Arabidopsis thaliana: one gene and its partners. The protein of the gene in region 2 purifies or fractionates together with the protein of the main gene of each other region. This does not show direct contact. Each region holds a gene or a part of one and is shown on either strand. Other genes may lie near its edges.

Region 1 (4,317 bases), 2.2 Mb from region 2:
TAAGTCAGTAGTTCCCATCTCCCTAACCATTCTCAAAGCATCTTCATACATTCCACTCTGTGCATACCCTGCAATGATAGTATTATACGACACAACATCCTTTCTAGGCATCACTTCAAAAACCCTCCTCACACTGTCTATTCCAAAAGGCATAATGCAAGTTTCAGCCTTTACATCTTCGTCTCCAGAATTGGACGTTCTTTGAGGCATTTCATCGAACACATTACCTACACTAATCTTAGAACCCATACCAAGAAGCTTAGCATACATATTCATAAGCGCATTACCAGTATACAAATCACAATCCATACCAAGCCTAACAATAAACCCATGAACAGACTCACCAAATCTCAAATCCATCATCATCGTACACGATTTCAAAACAGAAGGAAACACATTGTGATCTGGGCATCTCCCAGAAGCTCGCATTTCCACAAACGAAGCTAACGCCTTGGAGAATAGAGACTGGTCGGTGAAGCATCTGATTACTGACTTCCATGCTAGAACAGGAGGAGACTTAAGGGTTTTGAAAAGAAGCAAAGCTTCGTGCAAAAGTTTAAGGTTTGTGTAGATTGAGATTACGATTGAAGCTGATGTATGAGAGAGTGATTGAGTTCTGATGAATTGTGCGTGAAGCTGCTTCGCTTGAGATTTGGATTTGATTCGAGTTGGATTCTTAATCAGGGTTTTGATTAGGGCTTTTGATGAACTCATCTTTGTCTCCTTCTCAGAGATTCACCATTAGCAAACATAAAGGTTTGATTTTTATTTTCGTCATTCATTTAAATACTCCAACTTTTAACCTCTTTTTTTTATGACTTGTTCAATTCAATTCTTTTGCAATAGTTGTTCGAGTAGCAAAAAGACTTTGAGTTTGACAATTGTATCAAGACTATAACAAAGTACAAATGTTTAGATCATGATCAACAACTGCATTATGAACTAGAAACAAGAAGAAGCCTTTTCGGCAATTACATTGGTGGAGCAGTTAAAGAAGATTGCACACAAGCTTCTAAGAAGTAGAATGTTTTTTTTAATTTCAAATGCACACAAGCTCTTACTCGTCTTCTCTTTCTGGAGGAAGGCCGCAAGGTAAGAGCATTTTCTGCAAAAAAAAAATCAAAGAAGTTTGGAGTTAGTAAAAGCTATTAGCAAAAATGCAAAGTCATTGACTCTTGAGTGTAGAAGAACCAGAAGATAACAGTTTGAAACAACCCTCAAGATTGGTAGTTTCCTGCTAACTTACGATATGATACAATCTGTTTTTGACAAATACAGGGTAAGGGTTAAAAGAGTTTCATGCTGCTCCCCTTTCCGGTTGCAGAGGCCAAGTAAATATCTTTGAGGAAGTTCCATTCTCCATTCTTAAGGGTAAGGAGTTGTTGCTGATATCAGAAGGAGGAATGTTGAAAAACTAGAATTATAGCAGGTTTTCTTGAGGCCCACAAGTTCCTTGAAGAGAAAGATATTTACTGGCTTCTCCAAGCTAAAGAGGGGAGCAGCAGGAACACTTTACCCTGTTTGAAACAACCCTAATTGTTCCTCTCCCTTAAGACACTAACACATTAACATTCTCAATATGATTCCTTGACATGATGCAAGAAGAAAGATAGTAAACAAACCTGCATGAAGTTGTAACGTTCTCGACCAATAGATTCGTTCTCAGCTATTGCAAAGTAAGAAAGCATCGGGTAGTGACCAATGTATGAAGCATAACTATCACGCTGAATGTTCACAGTCCATTCACTAACACAAAAACATTCAAAATTTTCAATAAGTTCACAATTTTGGAATCCTGAAAAATCCAAACAAAAAGTGAAAAATACTTACAATCTGCTCAAATCTGCATGACCTGTACCAACATACTTAGCTTGAAGATGCTCAAGCTGAGAATTTATGTTAAACCTATCACTTGCCTGCACAAAAACAAAAAAGTGAGATTACATAACTATCTGCTGCTTAAAAACCTAACCTTTACAAGAACTAAAGCAAATTGTTCCCAGATTTCAGCTACGCTTAGCTTAATCGTCAAGAAATTGTATAAAATTAGAGATAAGAACAAAAAAAAGTAACTAGGGTTTCGAATCGAGAGAGACAAACCTGCATCTTTCAGACTTCAGCGAGTTCGCAAGAAGAAGAATACAACTTCTGCTTCACTTTAATTAGGTTTATATATGTTTCACTGAGAAATTGATTGGGCTTTGAGAATGGGTCTGGCCCAAATCCATTACTAATAAATTTTTAATACGTGGCTATTATTATGAGAACCGGTACAAAAGAAAACCAAACCAGAACCGGACATTTCAATCAAACCAAATCATTAACTTTTAAATTTGGGATAAAAAAAACGTGAACTTCCGAAATGCCGCTAAAATTATAAAATTTCGTCTGACTTTTGATAAAATGATTAAGTTTCGTTGACTTTACTATTTTGGGCATGTCGTTAAATTTCCGTTAACAACAAAATAACGGAGTTAACTTTTCGTTAACATTTTCCGTTAGAAGCGAAACGACGTCGTTTCAAAATAAAAATATATTAAAATTTGCGCCAAGAATGGATTGAACTCGTGAACCTCCTAAATTATCACAAGCGCTCAACCAATATGCTATGATAACATTTCGATATTAATGAAAACTGATATATATATATATACGCAAAACTAATTAAAAACCGAACTATTTTTTTTTTTTTTCCTTCCAATAACTTTATTAATTCACGTGTTCAGCATCTTTGTTTACAAACGACATTAGAAATCTAGGACAAAAATGATATAGAGTATGATTTATATGATTAGCTACTGCTTTTTTCGCCAGAACATCAACACAAACGTTTTGTTCCCGGTGTCGAAATGTGAACTTCACAGTGGTGAAAGCTTTGCTCCATTGTTGAATGAATTCCAAATAGTATCGAAGTCGTGGATTAGTTTCTTTGTTTCGAATAAGGCGATTAACTGTGATGTTGTCGCCTTCAAATTCTACTCTCCTATATCCCAAATCCCAAGCGCATTGTATTGCCCATATGAGGGCAGTGCATTCAGCTTCCTTTATTGTTTGTCGACCCTGAAATTTCCCGCAGCCGCAGTCCAAACAGGTTCCTTGTGAGTTTCGAATAATCCATCTGAGGCCTGAGTCTTGTCTTCCCGCATGGTTAGAGACATCATAATTGCATTTGACCCATTCTGCTCCTGGTTTTTGCCATTTGTCCGTTCTTGAGGACTTGGTTTGGCCCCCTTTGACGTTGTCATCATTTTTATGCTTAACATCCAGCCATTCTTTCGTGTCCATTATCGCTTGGTTTATCACATCAGCGACAGCGATTGCTTTTTTGTTGAAGACTAAATCATTCCGGCTCTTCCAAATCCTCCATATTAACCAAAATGGCAAATAAAAATATTAAAAATGATGTAAATTATAAAAATGCACCTACCAAATAAAAACCGAACTATAAAAACAATAACTAAACATGTAAAAATATTAAATACACCTACCATTAATATATATTCTCAAATAACAATGTAAATTTTTTTATTAAACGTATTGAATTAAAAAAAAATTCTCTTAAATTATATAAAAATCAAACTTGTGAAATATAACACCTATAAATATATTACCAAAAAATAACTTTTTATATACTTTCCATCTAATTATGAATAAAAAAATTGATTTGAAGACGGAATAATGATCTTATATTTTTCTTTTATTAAATATTTATCAAATTAATTTATAAAATATATGTTTTATTATAAATAAAATTATATATAAAGTGAAGTTGAATGAAATTCTATGTGCATGTATAGATTAATCCTATATTCATATGAGAAGGATTGTGTAAATTTTAGGTAATTTTCTATATTATTGATTTATTTTAGTTGGTTATTTTTAATTAGTTACGTATATATATATATATATGTATATGTTTACTATACTTCTAAAAAGTTAACGTGGCTCAATGGTTTTAGTCCTTCAATAGCACCTAAAAGGTCACCAGTTCAACTCTACTTGGTGTTTGTTTTTTGTTTTTTTCTTTAATTTCAAAACGACGTCGTTTCGCTTTTAACAGAAAAAATTAACAGAAAATTAATCACGTTATCTTTTTGTTAACGAAAACTTAACGACATGTTCAAAATGGCAAAGTCAACAAAACTTGACTATTTATCAAAAGTCAAACAAAAGTTTACGATTTTAATGGCATTTTGGAAGTTCATGTTTTTTTCGTCCCAAATTTGAAAGTTCATGATTTTTTTGACATTTTTCCCATTGTCCGCTTTAGAACTGTGTGGTAAACAAACCAAATTTGATTTTTACCCAAACAAAACA
Region 2 (8,292 bases):
TACCAAGTAAACAAATAACTTCTAATACGTTTTCTTGATCTTCTTGATGTGATATGATGAAATAAACCTATATATATGGCTCTTTTGCCAGTGTACTACTAATCTTAATGAAAATTTTCCAGGCGAAACAAAAGGGAAGGGTTGGGATACTTTTAGATTTCGTTTGGTATGAGCCGCTTACTAGAAGTAAAGCAGATAATCTTGCAGCTCAAAGAGCAAGAGACTTCCATATCGGATGGTAAATGTTAAAACTTTTTAACAAATAAAAACTCATATTTTACCATCAAGTCTTGGTGAGCTTATAGAATATCTTTTGTTTTCGGGTCATGCTTGAAGGTTTATTCACCCATTAGTATATGGAGAGTATCCAAAGACAATGCAGAACATTGTGAAAGAGAGGCTTCCAAAGTTCACGGAGAAAGAAGTGAAAATGGTGAAAGGTTCCATAGATTTTGTGGGAATAAACCAATACACGACTTATTACATGTCCGAACCACATCCCACCACCAAACCTAAGGATTTGGGTTATCAACAAGATTGGAATGTGGAATTTGGCTGTAAGTTATTGGAAGATTCATAACGATATGTAGATTTTGGATTTTGTTTACAGTCTTTAGATTTTGATCGTGACAATTATTAACTTGCAGTTGCTAAGTTGGGGAAGCCAATAGGTCCAAGGGTGAGATATACACTTGATTATATGTTTTTTTTTTTCCCTAAGCAATATATATACAAGTGTCTAAGTTATTAAATAAACCACTTATCTTATAGGCTTACTCGTCTTGGTTATACAACGTACCATGGGGAATGTACAAGGCCTTGATGTATATGAAGGAACGTTACGGCAACCCTACTATGATCCTCTCTGAAAACGGTATTAAAGAAACAAATTAAAATCTTCAATCAAGTTTCTTTTTGTTTTGTTATATTTCTATAAGATTATTATAAATTTTAGAGCTTTTTATAAATGTTTGAACATATTTTATAGGTATGGATGACCCGGGAAACGTTACTCTAGCTCAAGGACTACATGACACCACGAGAATCAAGTATTACAAAGATTACTTAACCAACCTTAAGAAAGCTAGGGATGATGGAGCCAATGTGGTTGGATATTTTGCGTGGTCATTGCTAGATAATTTCGAATGGTTATCAGGATATACTTCAAGGTACTTAAAAATTTATACCAAATGTATGATATGTAGAATAAATCAAGGTTATAATTAATATCTGTTTTTGTTTATTGTATAGGTTTGGGATCGTTTATGTTGATTACAAAACATTGAAGAGGTACCCCAAGATGTCTGCTCAGTGGTTTAAGCAACTTCTGAAACGAAACAACAAATGATCTCAATGTATCAATGCCGGGTGGATTTAGTTTTTAAAAAGGTTGGAATTGATGATTGAAGAAATAATGGGGCCGGTTTAGTCACTTTGTTTATTATAAGGGGGGTGAATTGTAACTTGAACTCTCTCCTTCTTCAGTTCTTTGACTTTTCAACACAAATAAAATAAAAGTTTAAGAATAAATTTGCACTATGAAATATGAACTCTTGTCCTTTTCAATTTTGTGAGTTTATATGCATTTAGAACATAACGGTCTTTGAACATTATAGATTTATAAAGTTGCAATTTGCAAGCATAAAGTTGGTAATCGAATTGATGTAATTACCCTTCTTTACTTTGTACTAAACAAAGCGCACTTAGCCACTTAACGCTAAAACATCGTAAGGACATACCTGTCATTTCCACAAGTGCCACTCGATTTCGCCACTCCTACAGTCCTACTCGTCGACTGCTCGCTTAACCATTGAAAAAGTGAGCCAAGGGTTTTGATTATTTTCGACGTCTACGGCGAATCTCTCCGCATCTTCATCGATTTCCCGGCGACGTTTACTACCGCCGTTTTACTCAATCGTGCCAGCTTAAGCAATCGAGGTACCCATTTTAGGTGTTACGCTTTGATTCTGCTTTTAAGCATTGGACAATTCCGGAGAATATGCTTTAGTTTCCTCTCTTTTGGAGAATGATTCGGTTCTAGGGGAAAGATTGTTGATTTCGTGTTTGTATTCATCATTGATTGAAACATGCATGATGCATTTTCGTGGTTCATGGTTTTTCACGGCTTCTTATCATTTTCTCTGTCTTTTTTTTTTTTTTTTTTTTTTTTTTTTTTGTTTCAGTGTGTATTGAGGTATACCAGAGATAGACATAAATGAGATGGATGTTGACGAGATCGAGTCTGCTGGGCAGATCAATATTTCTGAGCTAGGAGAAAGTTTTCTCCAGACTTTCTGCAAAAAAGCTGCGACATCTTTCTTTGAAGAGTTTGGACTTATAAGTCATCAGCTTAACTCCTACAACTTCTTCATTGAACACGGGCTTCAGAATGTGTTTGAGTCCTTTGGTGACATTCTTGTGGAACCGTCTTTTGATGTAATAAAGAAGAAGGATGGCGATTGGAGATACGCAACGGTGAAATTTGGAAAAGTCACTTTGGAGAAGCCTACATTCTTTTCGGATGACAAGGAGCTTGAGTTTCTCCCATGGCATGCAGGCTTCAGAACATGACATACTCAGCAAGGATCAAAGTCAATGCCCAAGTTGAGGTAACTAAACTAACAAAATCTTTGTCGAAATTAAGTAAGCTTGTCTGGATTTGATGAATGATTTCCCTTGCTTGAAAACTCAGAAAGGCCAGTTAACTATCACTTTCTAGTTCAACATTATGCAATATGTCTATGTAGTCGAGAGTGGAATACCACATGGTATGAAATATAAAAGAAAAACATCTTAAGCTTTTTATTTATTTAGTTCTTCCCCATTCCCTCACTGTTCTTTAATTGAGTGTTTCATGCTTGTGTGCAATGACTCTTGTACAGTCAAAGTTTTGATGATGTTTCTGTTTTGCTGTCCATGTATCTTATTCTTGTAAATGTAGTTTATTGTCTAACTGCATCTTCACTTTATAAATTACTAGGTGTTCAAAAAAATTGTTATTAAACACGACAAATTCAAGACTGGACAAGATGAATATGTCGAGAAGGAGATACTGGATGTCAAAAAACAGGACATTCTAATTGGTAGCATACCTGTCATGGTGAAATCTGTCCTTTGCAAAACTAGCGAGAAAGGAAAAGAAAACTGCAAAAAGGGGAATTGTGCCTTTGATCAGGGTGGATATTTTGTGATAAAGGGGGCTGAGAAGGTGAGTTAAACCATTTTGGGATCTTTTTGCATATCCACTATCATGGGATTTCTATTTTGAACTATTTTAGTGTATAGCTTAGTGGAAATTAGTTCTCTTTTTCTAATATATACTGGAAAAAATATTTTCAAGTTGTTATACAACTTCCTAACGTGATTATAATCTGTCTTGCAGGTGTTTATAGCTCAAGAACAGATGTGCACAAAGAGATTGTGGATTTCTAATTCACCATGGACAGTCTCCTTCAGGTCCGAAACTAAAAGAAATAGGTTCATTGTGCGCCTCTCGGAGAATGAGAAAGCAGAAGACTATAAGATAATGGAGAAAGTACTGACAGTGTACTTCTTGTCGACTGAGATTCCAGTCTGGCTCCTGTTCTTTGCGTTGGGTGTTTCATCAGACAAAGAAGCCATGGATCTAATTGCTTTCGATGGTGATGATGCAAGCATTACCAACAGTCTCATAGCTTCTATCCATGAAGCTGATGCAGTGTGTGAAGCTTTTCGCTGTGGGAACAATGCCCTAACATATGTTGAACATCAGATCAAAAGCACCAAATTCCCTCCTGCTGAAAGTGTGGATGATTGCCTCCGTCTGTATTTGTTTCCATGCCTCCAAGGTTTGAAGAAGAAAGCCCGATTCCTGGGCTATATGGTGAAGTGCCTTTTGAGCGCGTATGCGGGAAAACGAAAATGTGAAAACAGGGACAGTTTCCGGAATAAACGAATTGAGCTCGCTGGAGAACTGTTGGAGAGGGAGATAAGGGTGCATCTTGCACATGCTAGAAGAAAGATGACCAGGGCCATGCAGAAACAACTCTCAGGCGATGGCGATTTGAAGCCTATAGAGCATTATTTGGATGCTTCCGTTATCACCAATGGGCTTAATAGAGCCTTCTCCACTGGAGCATGGTCTCATCCTTTCAGGAAGATGGAAAGGGTCTCAGGTGTTGTAGCTAATTTGGGTCGTGCAAATCCATTGCAGACTCTGATTGATCTGAGGAGAACGCGACAGCAAGTCCTTTATACCGGCAAGGTTGGAGATGCTAGACATCCGTAAGTGAAAATTTCCACCTCCCCTGGTATATTGAAATATATCCCACGTACTTTAACTAACTGATATGGTTGCATTTACTCAATGTTACATGTCTTCAGACTGTTTTAAAGATATTCATATTAACCTATTTAGTATACGATGGCGATCACAGTTTCTGCAGAGTCTCGTCGGTTTATAATATTGAGTTTGTATAGATGTTGCTGCTATTAAGAAACTTTGATACTGTCTTTCTTGTTTCTTTGTCCCTTGGTCAATCTATCTGTTGTCCTGATGCATGTATTGAGATTATCCATTTTGGTTCCTTTTCAATGTGAGCGGTTACACAATTAAATCGTGCTGGGAAACTGAACTATGGCTGCATTGTTTTTAATGTTGGCCACAGGCATCCTTCTCACTGGGGCAGAGTATGCTTTTTGTCAACTCCAGATGGTGAAAATTGTGGTCTTGTGAAGAACATGTCTCTTCTTGGACTTGTTAGCACTCAAGGTTTGGAGTCTGTGGTGGAAATGCTCTTTACTTGCGGAATGGAAGAGCTGATGAATGATACCAGCACACCATTGTGTGGCAAACACAAAGTTCTTCTCAATGGAGACTGGGTTGGATTATGTGCAGATTCTGAATCCTTTGTCGGGGAGTTAAAAAGCAGGCGGCGCCAAAGTGAATTACCTCTCGAGGTATCTTCTGTTTCAGCAAATGTTTTGCTATATTTTGATATTCTTGTGCTACTTGATTATTTGCTTTGGATTTTTCTGCTTCAGAAAGTATCCTATGTCGAATATTATTTACATATATGTATCACAACGTTATCTGCAGATGGAAATCAAGCGAGATAAAGATGACAATGAGGTGAGAATTTTCACTGACGCTGGTAGACTACTCCGACCTCTCTTGGTTGTGGAAAATCTCCACAAGTTGAAGCAAGACAAACCTACACAGTATCCTTTTAAGCATCTTCTTGACCAAGGGATTCTCGAGCTGATCGGGATTGAGGAAGAAGAAGACTGTACTACAGCATGGGGAATCAAACAGCTTCTGAAGGAACCAAAGAATTACACGCATTGCGAATTGGACCTATCATTCCTGTTGGGTGTGAGCTGTGCAATTGTCCCATTTGCAAATCACGATCATGGGAAAAGAGTTCTTTACCAGTCTCAGAAGCATTGCCAACAAGCCATCGGATTCTCATCAACGAACCCTAACATCCGCTGCGATACGCTGTCCCAGCAGCTGTTCTATCCCCAAAAGCCACTTTTCAAGACATTGGCGTCAGAGTGTCTTGAAAAAGAAGTTCTATTTAATGGCCAGAACGCAATTGTTGCTGTGAATGTTCATCTCGGGTACAACCAAGAGGACTCCATTGTGATGAACAAGGCTTCATTGGAACGTGGTATGTTCCGTTCAGAGCAGATTAGAAGCTACAAAGCAGAGGTTGATACTAAAGACTCGGAGAAGAGGAAGAAGATGGATGAGCTTGTTCAGTTTGGAAAGACATACAGCAAAATCGGCAAAGTAGACAGCCTTGAAGATGACGGGTTTCCTTTCATTGGTGCTAACATGAGTACTGGCGATATTGTCATTGGCAGATGCACCGAGTCTGGGGCTGATCACAGTATAAAGCTCAAGCACACTGAGAGAGGAATTGTGCAAAAAGTGGTATTATCTTCTAATGATGAAGGGAAGAATTTTGCAGCGGTTTCTCTGAGACAGGTAAGTTCCAGATCATACTGAATCGAGCTGTTTTTCAGAGAATGCATTCTTATGATGAATCAAATGTTCCATTGATTGGCTTTTACATCTTGCAGGTTCGTTCTCCATGCCTTGGAGATAAGTTTTCCAGTATGCATGGCCAGAAGGGTGTTTTAGGCTATCTAGAGGAACAGCAGAATTTTCCTTTCACGATCCAAGGCATAGTTCCTGATATTGTGATAAACCCGCACGCTTTCCCTTCTAGGCAGACACCAGGTCAACTCTTGGAGGCTGCTCTCTCCAAAGGAATCGCTTGTCCTATACAAAAGAAGGAGGGTAGCTCTGCTGCATACACCAAATTGACACGTCATGCCACTCCTTTCTCCACTCCGGGTGTCACTGAAATCACCGAGCAGCTTCACAGGTACATTCTTCACATTGTCACTTGGTTTTTAGCTCGTAAAACAGAATATTGAATTATATGCAATACAGATTGACATTTGGTTCCTAGGGAGTACAGATGGATGATATCATTAAGGGTAGGAACTAATTATTAATAATGTTGCCTGGTTGGAGATGTTTGAACTTTGGGACTTTGGCTCAAAAGCTGACATGATATGCATAATACCAGCAAATCGAGCTAATATACTGCACAAGGCACTAAGCTAGATTTGAGCACCTTACTTGAAACATGTCATAGTGGATCTTTGTTTTGTTTCCTAGTACCAGAAGTGAGCATGATTTATATGACGGGCAAATATCTCTGTAAGACCAAAAAAACTAAGAAGTTGGATGTTCTCTGGTTGATTAAATTGTGCCTGCAAAACGTCTAGAGGATACACAGAATGGGCTCAAAAGCCATGTATCAGTATATAATTAGTTAGAGGATTGATGCTGTGAGCCTTGTGATTATGTATGATTCGTTGAACCTTTCTTAGATCATTGTTGATTGCCAATGGTAAATATTTGTGGTTAGGGCCGGCTTTTCAAGATGGGGAAACGAAAGGGTCTACAATGGTAGATCGGGTGAGATGATGCGCTCTCTGATATTCATGGGCCCAACTTTCTACCAGCGACTTGTCCACATGTCAGAGAACAAAGTCAAGTTCAGGAACACCGGACCAGTCCACCCGCTCACACGCCAGCCAGTCGCAGACCGGAAGAGGTTTGGCGGGATAAGATTTGGAGAAATGGAGCGAGACTGCCTAATAGCTCACGGTGCATCCGCTAATCTGCACGAGCGGCTCTTCACTCTAAGTGACTCTTCTCAGATGCACATCTGCAGAAAATGCAAGACCTATGCGAATGTGATCGAGAGGACTCCAAGCAGTGGAAGAAAGATCAGAGGGCCATATTGCAGAGTGTGCGCATCCTCCGACCATGTGGTTAGGGTCTATGTTCCTTATGGAGCTAAGCTTCTTTGTCAGGAGCTGTTCAGCATGGGCATTACTCTCAACTTCGACACCAAGCTCTGCTGATTCCCCGTCATTATTATGTAAATAGCTTAATGCCTTAAGACCATGATGATATGTGTAGTTTGCTTCAATCCCTGTTCTGGTTAGTGTTGGTTTTGGTTTGGTTGATTCTGTAAGGGTTATCCGAAACGAAGAAATCGTTAAACCAAGCCACTGAACTAAATCTTAAGTGTTGCTTTTGTAAGAGTTGACTCTTTAACCGTAAATGATGATCGGATTTTGTAAAAATCAGTTCTTTTGTCAACGCTAACCGGTTTATATCTGGTTTTCTATGTGTTTTATAATGATCCGACCCAGACCCGGCCCGTTTGCACTGATGCCGCCAATGTTAAATTGGTCAGACATAAATAAAACCTTAAGTATTAGGAAAACATTCATCGTCTTCTTCTTCTAGAGGCATAAACCCTTGGCTTGGAGCCGTTTCTCTCATTCTTCGATTTGATTCAATTTCATTTTCATAAAGAAGGATTTCTCTTTCTGTATCGCGATGAATCGGAACAGCCTATACGAAGCTGATGACGATGATGACGATGACGAAGAAGATGACATCGGTGAAGACCTCGAAGATTTAAGACGCGCATGTATGGTCTCTGACGTTAATTCCGATCAATTCGCGTCAAAAACCGGTTCAATTGAACCGGAAGGAGTCGGTGGCGGAGAGATACCGTCGGATTCAGAAAACGAAGATGACTTTGAGATGCTTCGTACAATTAAGAGCCAATTAGCATCTTCCAAGGATGCGGGTAGAAGCAGTGGTCCTCCCATGGGTTTGTCCTTGCTCTCGGATTCGGAGAGTGAAGATGATTTCGAGATGATTCGGAGTATTAAGAGCCAATTGTCATTGTCCATGGATGTGTCCCTTCCTCC
Region 3 (4,055 bases), on a different chromosome or scaffold from region 2:
GTGATCTGAACCACTTGATCTCTGCAACCATGTCTGGTGTAACCTGCTGTCTTAGGTTCCCTGGTCAACTGAACTCTGATCTGCGAAAGCTAGCTGTGAATCTGATCCCATTCCCTCGTCTCCACTTCTTCATGGTGGGATTTGCTCCTCTCACCTCTCGTGGATCTCAGCAGTACCGTAACCTCACTGTCCCAGAGCTCACTCAGCAAATGTGGGATGCTAAGAACATGATGTGTGCTGCTGACCCAAGACACGGTCGCTACCTCACTGCTTCAGCCATGTTCCGTGGAAAGATGAGCACCAAGGAGGTCGATGAACAGATGCTGAACGTACAGAACAAGAACTCCTCCTACTTTGTGGAATGGATCCCTAACAACGTCAAATCAACCGTCTGTGACATTCCCCCTACTGGTCTGAAGATGGCTTCAACGTTCATTGGTAACTCAACTTCGATCCAAGAGATGTTCAGGCGTGTCAGTGAGCAATTCACTGCTATGTTCAGGAGAAAGGCTTTCTTGCATTGGTACACAGGTGAAGGTATGGATGAGATGGAGTTCACTGAAGCTGAAAGCAACATGAACGATCTTGTCTCTGAGTATCAGCAGTATCAAGATGCAACGGCTGATGAAGAAGGAGAATATGAAGAGGAAGAAGCTGAGTACGAGCAAGAAGAAACTTATTGAAGAAACAGATGATAAGAACACCTCAACTTCCAGTTGCTGTTTACTTTTAAAACTCTCTTCTATTAAGTTCTTATAGTTTCTGTAACTATCGCTTGCGTTATTAGTAGTTATGATACTCTGCGTAGGCTAAGAGGATTTATCAATCAATATTCAAACAATCTATTTTGCTAAATCAAAATCCATCCATAGTATTTTTTTTCTTTGTTTCATTATATAACCTTTTGTTAATTTTGACTATGTGAATTCGGTGAAGACTTCACCATCTTTCAAATATAAGAAGCAGAGTAGTAGTGACAATGGTTATAAGCAATATAAGAATCTTCTTGGTTAAATTTTGGTGTGGATTATGAATTTGACGAGTCAATTTGAAGGACGAATCTGGATTTAAGATAAAAATAGTATAAACTCCATAGGAGAATACAATGGTTATCAGTTGTTTTCAATGTCCATGGACCCAAATAGATCCCTCTGCCTCTTAAGCTCTTCTTCTTCAGCCTCCTCCTTACGCTTTTGTTCATCCTTATACTCAGCAACAGCCTTATCAAAAACGCTTCTCACATGTCTGTTCATTTGCATGAGCTCTTGACATGCATCTTTAAAAACCTCTCTTGCTGGATCACCTAAAAGCCACAGAGCCAACACGTTTTATGTTGTTAGACACACAGACAAAGAACTCGGATAAGAGTTATCCAAAAAGAACATAGCTTAACTCTGATGAACAGAGTTTTTGAAAAACAGTACCTGTTGTCTGGACCCGGATATTGACCTGTTCAAGGGAAGGATGTGGGATGGTGTATGCAGCCACGGTTACTCTGGGACTGCAGAATTGAAAACAGTACTGGTTATTGACATAATCATCATTGTCTACACACCAGCATATCAACTCCATCAACCTCAAAGATAAGATAATGTGACATTCATTGAATACAATGAGAATCTCTAACAACATAACATGAATGTAAACCAACATTTAATCGAACTCTCAAGTTTCACAATCACAATATAATGGCGAACTTAATGGACCAAACTCATCCAACGAAAGATATCGGAACAATAATGCCTCGTCACTGCTGTCTCTATCTAAGAGCTAATTCTAGACTATCTTTTCTAGTCTCTAACCACAGAACATGAATCTGAATCGAACTCAACCTTCACAATCACCTTATAATGGCACAAACATACAATGTGCACACTGATTATTCAAACAAAATTTGATTATCTTCACAATAATTCTAACCAAAAACAAAGGTAAAGACAGGTAAGAGATTCATTCCTAATGAGGGAAACTATGAACTCAATAATCAGAATTTGAGAGTGTCACGAACTAAGTATGAGATTATAAAGCTAAAGCCTTTCTCTGTGAAAGTGTATAGCTTCTTCTATATATATACATAACAGATTCAAAAGGATTGAAAGAAGAAGATACTTACTCTTGGTTTAAGACGAATCTAACAGCATTAGCAAGTGTGTGATCTTCTTCCGATAAAGTAAACGAAGCATGACTAACATTCGTGAACGAACCGTGCTCCATATCTCACCTTCTTGCTACTCAATTCCTTAACTCAAAATCAAAAATCCACCACCAACTAGAAAACACAGAAAGAGAACGACTTCAATTGAAAGCTTTGAATAGCTAAACAAACCCACAAAGAAAAACTCGAAATTGAAGAAAATTTCAGCAAAAAAAGTTGAGAGAGTAAGAAAGAAGATACCTCCAATAGAAATTTGCTAAAACCCTAAAAGCTTGATTAGTCGGCGACTTTTAGTCGTGGAGAAGCTCAGATACTTTAGCGTAATTACATCTATACCCTTTCGTTTGATGACGTGGCGTGTAATGTCTCTTAAACCCTAATTCGGCTGTGTAGCAAAAGAGAAGCCTTTGTTGTGTTCTTTACCTCTCTTCACGAAATCCCATTTGAGAAAGTAAGGATTTATGATCTTCAAATTCAAGTATGAATTATAAAGTTTCGATTTTTACGAATCATTAATTTTGTATTCAGGTACTGCTAAAAAAATGGCTTCTCCTATTCCCGTCGGCGTTACTAAGGAACAGGTTCGGTTTATTTGCTCGTCCTTTATTGTTAATACATCGTAAAGCTCCGATCTTTGATCTAATTAGACAATGGAAGCTTAAGTTTTTCTAGCTGTCTCTGTGATGACATATAGGTTTCAATGTTTTTGCAATGCTTAGGGTTTAAATTGTATCGTGATTCAGATCTTTAAGCCATTTATTAGATTTGGATTGGTGTTGTCAAGTTTCTCATTTTGCTTTTTTTTTTTGGTGTCTTGGATTTGAATCAGGCGTTTAGTATGGCACAAACGGAGATGGAGTATCGCGTGGAACTCTTTAACAAGTACTGAATCAAACACCCATTTGGTTTATCTTTCGTTATGAAATTCGATTTTCACTTGTGATTGCTTATCTGGTTTAATTTTGTTTTGATCACATTGTTTAGGGCTTCACTTATTTTCAAATAGTGATATATATAAGCTAGAGGAGTATAAGTTTGAGACTGCTGATATGTCGAAAATCCTTAGGCTGCCTGAATTGTTTATCTTGAGGAGGAAATCTAAAATCTTTCTATGAGGAATTCTCGAGTTCTGTGCATATGTATTCAGCTGTTATGTAGAGTTTAAACTTTGATAACATATGACTTAGGTGGTGTTCTGTTAATATTCATTTCCCCGGGCCATTTGTGATTCCTCTGGTTAGAGATTATGAAGAAAGTCACATCTTTATATGTGTTTCTTTTCCTTCTAATATACTTTGTGGTCTATTGTGATTCCTCGGGTTAGAGACTATGCTGACAGGCCTTGTTCTTGTATTGCAGGCTTGCTCAAACATGCTTTAATAAATGTGTGGATAAAAGGTAAACTATTTCTCCTTTTGATGTTCTATAATTACGTCGTGGAACTTGTCTGCAATTGTTGAAACTTTTCTTAGCTGAGAGATGAGTAAGTTGCACCTGTTTTGAGATTCTTTGCCTAATTCTCAGGTACAAGGAAGCTGAGCTAAACATGGGTGAGAATAGTTGCATCGACCGTTGTGTTTCCAAGTACTGGCAGGTAAGGCTCTCTGATACTTCAACAATTAACAATTTGATACTTCAAATCTTCTCATAGTTGACTACTATTATTCAAATTCAATGCTTATGTTCTTTTTCATTAAATTTGTTTTCAGGTAAATGGAATGGTTGGACAGCTTCTAAGTGCTGGCAAGCCTCCCGTGTAATCCAGTTTAAAGGCAATTATTACAGACCAAAAAGCTCATGGAGGGAACACAACTCTGTTCTTTGTTTTTCTAAAGTTTAAGGCAATCTTGTTTTTATTGTCAAGAAAGTTGCATCACATTTTTGGCGCTGATTTGGACAA
Region 4 (5,120 bases), on a different chromosome or scaffold from region 2:
ATATCTTGTGATAGAGTTATGTCCTATATTTTAGGGATTAGAGTATATCTCATAAGATGTCTCTCTTGTATAAATACTATACTTTGTGAATCAATAAAATCAAGTTAGTGCAATACCTAAGTCTACATACATCACCCAATTTACATTGATTTATTTAAGTTTTTTTTTACTCATTTACTAATCGTACCAATATGTTGATGAACATTTTTGGATTTAAACTGTCAACAAATCGTGTACTAGCGCAATATTATCATATTATCACTTTGTTCTATCTTATGATCTCTCGCTTGGACAGATTCTGGAAGTGCATGTAAAGGACCTGATTTTATAAAAGTTCAAACAATTTAAAAAAGAAAGCATCCATTTACTTGTGGATCTCCCGAACGCTTGGTAACGTCGATACATGGAACACTTGTTGATGAGTCTTGAGAAATCAAGCTCATACTTAATAACCAGTTTACATGTCGTTAGTAGATCTTCTCGATGAACTCATGAACACAGTGTGAAATTCATGAGTTTCTTCTATATGGTAATTTAGTAGGATAGCTAATGTTCTTCTATGCTATATTAAGCATTTTGTTTTTACTTTCATTTTCAATATGAAAATTAACATGTGTCTCTAAAGGTAAACGTGTTAGGACCATTCATCTTGAGTCAAGTGATATTTCACATGCATGGGAAACAAAACTTATTGATAATTGTATACAATGACTAAAGTTTTATAATGTTTATGAAACTTTCGGATTGTATACAATGACTAAAGTTTTATAATGTTTATGAAACTTTCGGTATTGTTAAAGTATTATGATGGTCAATGAAACTAGGCAAAAATAAGTCAAAGAGAATAAGAAAAATTATCCATAAGTAAGCAAGCTTATAATAGATGCGTATGATTATATCAACTATAGTGTTTATAGGCTTCCATCGTTGACGATATTACATTATTTATAGTTTAGATTTTAGAATACGTTTGATGAAATGGCTTTTGGTTTAAGTGGCCTAAGCTTTTTGCTTTTATTTGTCCATTTGTCACACCCGTTGTTTTCTTGTCGTTTGGACATCCCACGGTAAGAATTTATGTCGGGAACTTTTAACAAATCAAACTAGGCATGCAATAACGGTTATGTCGGATTATTCGGGTTTTTGGATAGTTCAAAAATTGAAAATTTTGATGAATTTGATTAAAACACGAAACCGTGTAAAACCAACCTAAAAATCCAAGGTGTTTTGTTTTTTACATTCAAGAAAAGCAAACTTACACAGACAAAGTTGTTTTTTAACAGTCATATAAATCTCTACCAGAAGATCAAATTGGACAGTTTTTAAAACTCCAAACCAACATTCCATCACACGAGTTCTTGATAACTTGAAAGACAAATCGAATCCTCATGTCACCTATTCCTCTTCTCTTTCCGGAGGAAGGCCGCAGGGTAATAGCATTTTCTGGAAATCAAAAGACATCTCAAGTTATTCCAAAACATCATCACATCTACAAAGTGTAACCAATTTTTTGAGCAAAGAACACCCCACAAATATTCATATTTTTCTATGCTTTTCGATTAACCCTCAAGAAGACCATATATTCAGATATAAGAGATCGCTATCACAAGATTATTCAACCATGTAAGAGACCTGTTTCATGAAAAAACTGAAAGCCAAGGCGAGCTCACAACTGTTTGTGAAAGGAACTAAGCTTCCATTAATTTGAGAATTGAGGACAAATGAAAACATTTGAGTGAGAGACCACACCATAACCTAATGCTCTATAATCTAATTGTAACCTACACAACTGGAGGCTGCTGAATGGTCAGTGAAATGTGAAGTCCATAGTCTAGGAAATCAACATATCACGACAAATAGAGAAATACGCCATTGACAAGACCTAAACTAAAACCATACAACAAATCAATGAATCTGAAAAGGAAAAGGAATGAGATATACCACAAGATAACCACGAAATGATACATTCCTAATCGACTACACATAGAATCATAATCCAAACCTTGAACTGTAGATTTGTCACTAGATAAAGGATGAGGCAAAAGGAAAGTACAGAATTTTACTGATAAGATTCCTATTAACACAGAGAATAGGAAGCAAACCTACATGAAATTCTAACCTATCACACATTTCAACCATGCAAGAGGCGAATAAACCGAAACCAACCGAGTTGAGTAAGACCATGACCCAACGCTCTCTAATATAATTGTATCCTACAGAACTAGAGGCTGCTGAAATAGTCAGTCAAAACTGAAGTCCATGGTCTAAGAAATCAAAATATCACGACGAATAGACAAATACGACATTTAACAGTAAACTAAAAACCATACAACAAAGCAATAAATCTGGAAGGCAACATAAGTTACATAACCATATGATACGCACCTAATCAAATAAACATAGAATCATAATCCAAATCTTGAACTGTAGATTTGTCACTAGAGAAAGTAATATGCAAAAGACATGAAAGGAGGCAAACCTGCATGAAATTGTAGCGTTCTCGTCCAATAGACTCGTTCTCAGCAATAGCAAAGTATGAAAGCATAGGGTAGTGACCAATGTATGAAGCATAACTATCACGCTGAATGTTCACAGCCCACTCACTGTACCATTTAAACCAATTCCACAAATTAGTAGCCAATAAAAACAATGCATATAAAAATTTGAACACTAAAATCAAAAGAAACTCACAATCTACTCAAATCAGCATGACCGGTTCCAACATATTTAGCTTGAAGATGCTCAAGCTGAGAATTGATGTTAAACCTATCACTTGCCTGCAAAAGAAAAAAACCCAAACCAAAAGATGTTAAATTTAAAGCAAATTGTTCCCGATTTCATCTATATATGCTTTATAAGAAACAAATCGACCTAATTTCGTCTAAGCCAATTCTCTTCGACATAGATAAATTAAACAGACAGAGAATCAAAGGTAGAAGAAGCTAATTAGGTTATTTCTTCTTCCAATTTACCAACAAAAGCTAGGGTTTCGGATCGAGAACATACCTGCATCTTTTTCAGAGTTTCGCAGCAACTAGAAGAAGAAGAAGAAGAAGAAGAAGAAGAAGAAGAAGAAGAAGAAGATCTAAACCCTATCTTTCTTCAAGTCCTTTATCTGCTAATTGTTTTCGGTTAATATTTAAATCCGAAATAACCGACCGGTTCGTTCGGTGTACCCGAAGTAGTAGATCATAAAATGAAAACGTGGTCGTTTCACATAATAAAGAAGTTAAGGCAAGAAGCTTGGAATTTGGCTAACAATTGTGGATTCTTTAATCATTATCAATCTACAGAATACAAACAAAAGTGGCTGTAGTTTAGTGGTTAGAATCCCACGTTGTGGCCGTGGGGACCTGGGCTCGAATCCCAGCAGCCACACTTAGTCTTTTTTCTTTTTTATACTATTTTGACATTTGAAGAAGGTCTCTTAAGGGCCTACGAATACTCATAGAGGTACATTTGTTCTCTACTTCTTTTGTATGCACTTTTTAGTCTTCAGTCTTCACACGCAATTGGTTCCAAAGGCCTACATATAGTGTAGACTGTAGACTTTTAGCACCAAATCTGAGGTGCCATTAAGCCATCTGTTTCACTCTTGAGTGTACTCAATTAAACACATTCAGTGAGAACAGTTTTTCAGATTGGCGCTTTTTCTAATCTAATAAATAGTAAATACTTTTGCTTATAGCATTAGAGGGTGAAGATTTCATCTTGAGGTTTAGTAGTACAACCAAGTTTTGATTAACCAAAAAAAAAAAAATCAAATACCAAAGCTCACCTTCTCTCCCTGTGAAAATAAATAAACAAGCCAATTCCGAAAAGAATATTTACTTTTTCACTTTTCTATGTTGAAAACAATTAAACAAATCCATCTTTCTCCTCTGGGAGAGCCTTCGCTTCCACTGGAGAGACTGTACTTTGTTGAAAAACCCCTGCTAACTCCAACTTTTAACAGTCGTTTAGAGAAAGCAAAAGGCTTTCAACGAAATCAACAACACACATGTTAATATAACAAGAGTCTTCTGGTTCAGGCTGTGCAATGTGTCAAATGAAATTCACCCGGATGAGCTCGACTTACTACCTTCTTTCTCTGGATCTTCAATCTGCGTCGGTAGTAGATTCAAAAAGCTTCCTTGGTGGGTTGTTGTCCCACCAGATGTTTCGTCTTCTGTTAATTTAGTTTCCACAGTTTGGTTAGAGAGAATCAAACATGGATCGTAATCATCTTGATTTTACAAATAGCATACAAACAGATGATTTACCAAAGAGAGATTTAATAGACGGCCTTTTTGGCTTATTGCTCTTCTTCTTCAACTCAGCTGCACAATAAAACAAATTACAAATGCAGCAAACATGCGATGATAATCACAAGGTAATCTAGTATTGTTGCTTCTTCCTCAGCAACGGAAGGGGGGTTAAGTGAATTACCTATCCCTGGTATTTGGTCATCATTTACGATTTCTACGTTCTTGTAAGTATAACCAACAAAGTTAATGTCTTTGGATGAGAGCATCTGGAGAAGAAAAAAAGAAAGCCAGCGTCATGTTATGAAATTCACAAGAATCCTTTTGGTTCATGACATAAATTCTATTGACAGAACAGGTTCTAAGTTATATCATGTTGGTCCAAAAAGATAAGTGATTCATCTAACACACGTCAACATGCAGAACTGGCAGATTAACAACATAATTCTGTTAGTAGCATCCCAATCAGCTCCAAATTCTAAATTACCATAAGAAAATTTGAACCTAAAAGAGTGAATCACGTTTTTGTGAATATAGTACAAAGATAGAAACGCCTGTGACAGAAACTGAGCCAATTTCATCATTCTGAGCTCTTTGTTGCATGTAATATTTTAAGCTACGTCTGTAGTATCATCAAAGAACAACATATCTCAAGGAACCCACTTATAGATAAATTTTGAAGTATGATCACTCTTCTATTAGATAAAAAAAAAAAGCTTGATGGTACATAATGCCAAAAAGTCAGTGCTTATGCTGTACCTTTCTCCATGGACCTGACTTGGCTGACTTTGGAACTTGCTTGTCAGTCTGTTCCAGAAGGAATCAAAGAAGAGTATACATTATTTTCCTTATCAGGAGCATAAAAATCATCTGTGA

What was found.
Region 1: the proteins of NRPD2B (region 2) and AT3G23325 fractionate together in Arabidopsis thaliana (co-fractionation; one large-scale study listed by BioGRID). This does not show direct contact.
Region 3: the proteins of NRPD2B (region 2) and RPC14 fractionate together in Arabidopsis thaliana (co-fractionation; one large-scale study listed by BioGRID). This does not show direct contact.
Region 4: the proteins of NRPD2B (region 2) and AT4G14342 fractionate together in Arabidopsis thaliana (co-fractionation; one large-scale study listed by BioGRID). This does not show direct contact.

Annotation. Positions count from the first base shown.
Region 1 is NC_003074.8:8,343,597-8,347,913, reverse strand, and holds AT3G23325 (Splicing factor 3B subunit 5/RDS3 complex subunit 10), read right to left. Parts: upstream 2,145-4,317; 5' UTR 2,107-2,144; coding exon 2,101-2,106; intron 1,917-2,100; coding exon 1,831-1,916; intron 1,747-1,830; coding exon 1,623-1,746; intron 1,548-1,622; exon of another isoform or gene 1,258-1,547; intron 1,106-1,257; coding exon 1,058-1,105; 3' UTR 772-1,057; downstream 1-771. Other genes in the region: AT3G23330 (Tetratricopeptide repeat (TPR)-like superfamily protein), read right to left, coding at 1-714; AT3G23320 (Polynucleotidyl transferase, ribonuclease H-like superfamily protein), read right to left, coding at 2,710-3,285.
Region 2 is NC_003074.8:6,192,777-6,201,068, forward strand, and holds NRPD2B (nuclear RNA polymerase D2B), read left to right. Parts: upstream 1-1,739; 5' UTR 1,740-1,938; intron 1,939-2,183; 5' UTR 2,184-2,546; coding exon 2,547-2,609; intron 2,610-2,980; coding exon 2,981-3,208; intron 3,209-3,382; coding exon 3,383-4,263; intron 4,264-4,646; coding exon 4,647-4,938; intron 4,939-5,077; coding exon 5,078-5,971; intron 5,972-6,066; coding exon 6,067-6,374; coding exon of another isoform or gene 6,375-6,426; exon of another isoform or gene 6,427-6,442; coding exon of another isoform or gene 6,443-6,461; exon of another isoform or gene 6,462-6,926; coding exon 6,927-7,428; 3' UTR 7,429-7,648; downstream 7,649-8,292. Other genes in the region: BGLU44 (B-S glucosidase 44), read left to right, coding at 1-6, 123-238, 337-557, 648-679, 772-874, 989-1,169, 1,252-1,348; MYB4R1 (myb domain protein 4r1), read left to right, coding at 7,913-8,292. UniProt on the Arabidopsis thaliana protein: DNA-dependent RNA polymerase catalyzes the transcription of DNA into RNA using the four ribonucleoside triphosphates as substrates.
Region 3 is NC_003071.7:12,640,886-12,644,940, reverse strand, and holds RPC14 (RNApolymerase 14 kDa subunit), read right to left. Parts: upstream 2,114-4,055; 5' UTR 1,654-2,113; coding exon 1,425-1,653; intron 1,304-1,424; coding exon 1,113-1,303; 3' UTR 997-1,112; downstream 1-996. Other genes in the region: TUB7 (tubulin beta-7 chain), read left to right, coding at 1-683; TIM10 (Tim10/DDP family zinc finger protein), read left to right, coding at 2,698-2,736, 2,985-3,037, 3,162-3,233, 3,515-3,553, 3,680-3,749, 3,865-3,915.
Region 4 is NC_003075.7:8,252,394-8,257,513, forward strand, and holds AT4G14342 (Splicing factor 3B subunit 5/RDS3 complex subunit 10), read right to left. Parts: upstream 3,212-5,120; 5' UTR 3,013-3,211; coding exon 3,007-3,012; intron 2,778-3,006; coding exon 2,692-2,777; intron 2,604-2,691; coding exon 2,390-2,603; 3' UTR 2,107-2,389; intron 1,444-2,106; coding exon of another isoform or gene 1,396-1,443; 3' UTR 1,143-1,395; downstream 1-1,142. Other genes in the region: AT4G14350 (AGC (cAMP-dependent, cGMP-dependent and protein kinase C) kinase family protein), read right to left, coding at 4,056-4,168, 4,263-4,319, 4,429-4,513, 5,004-5,051.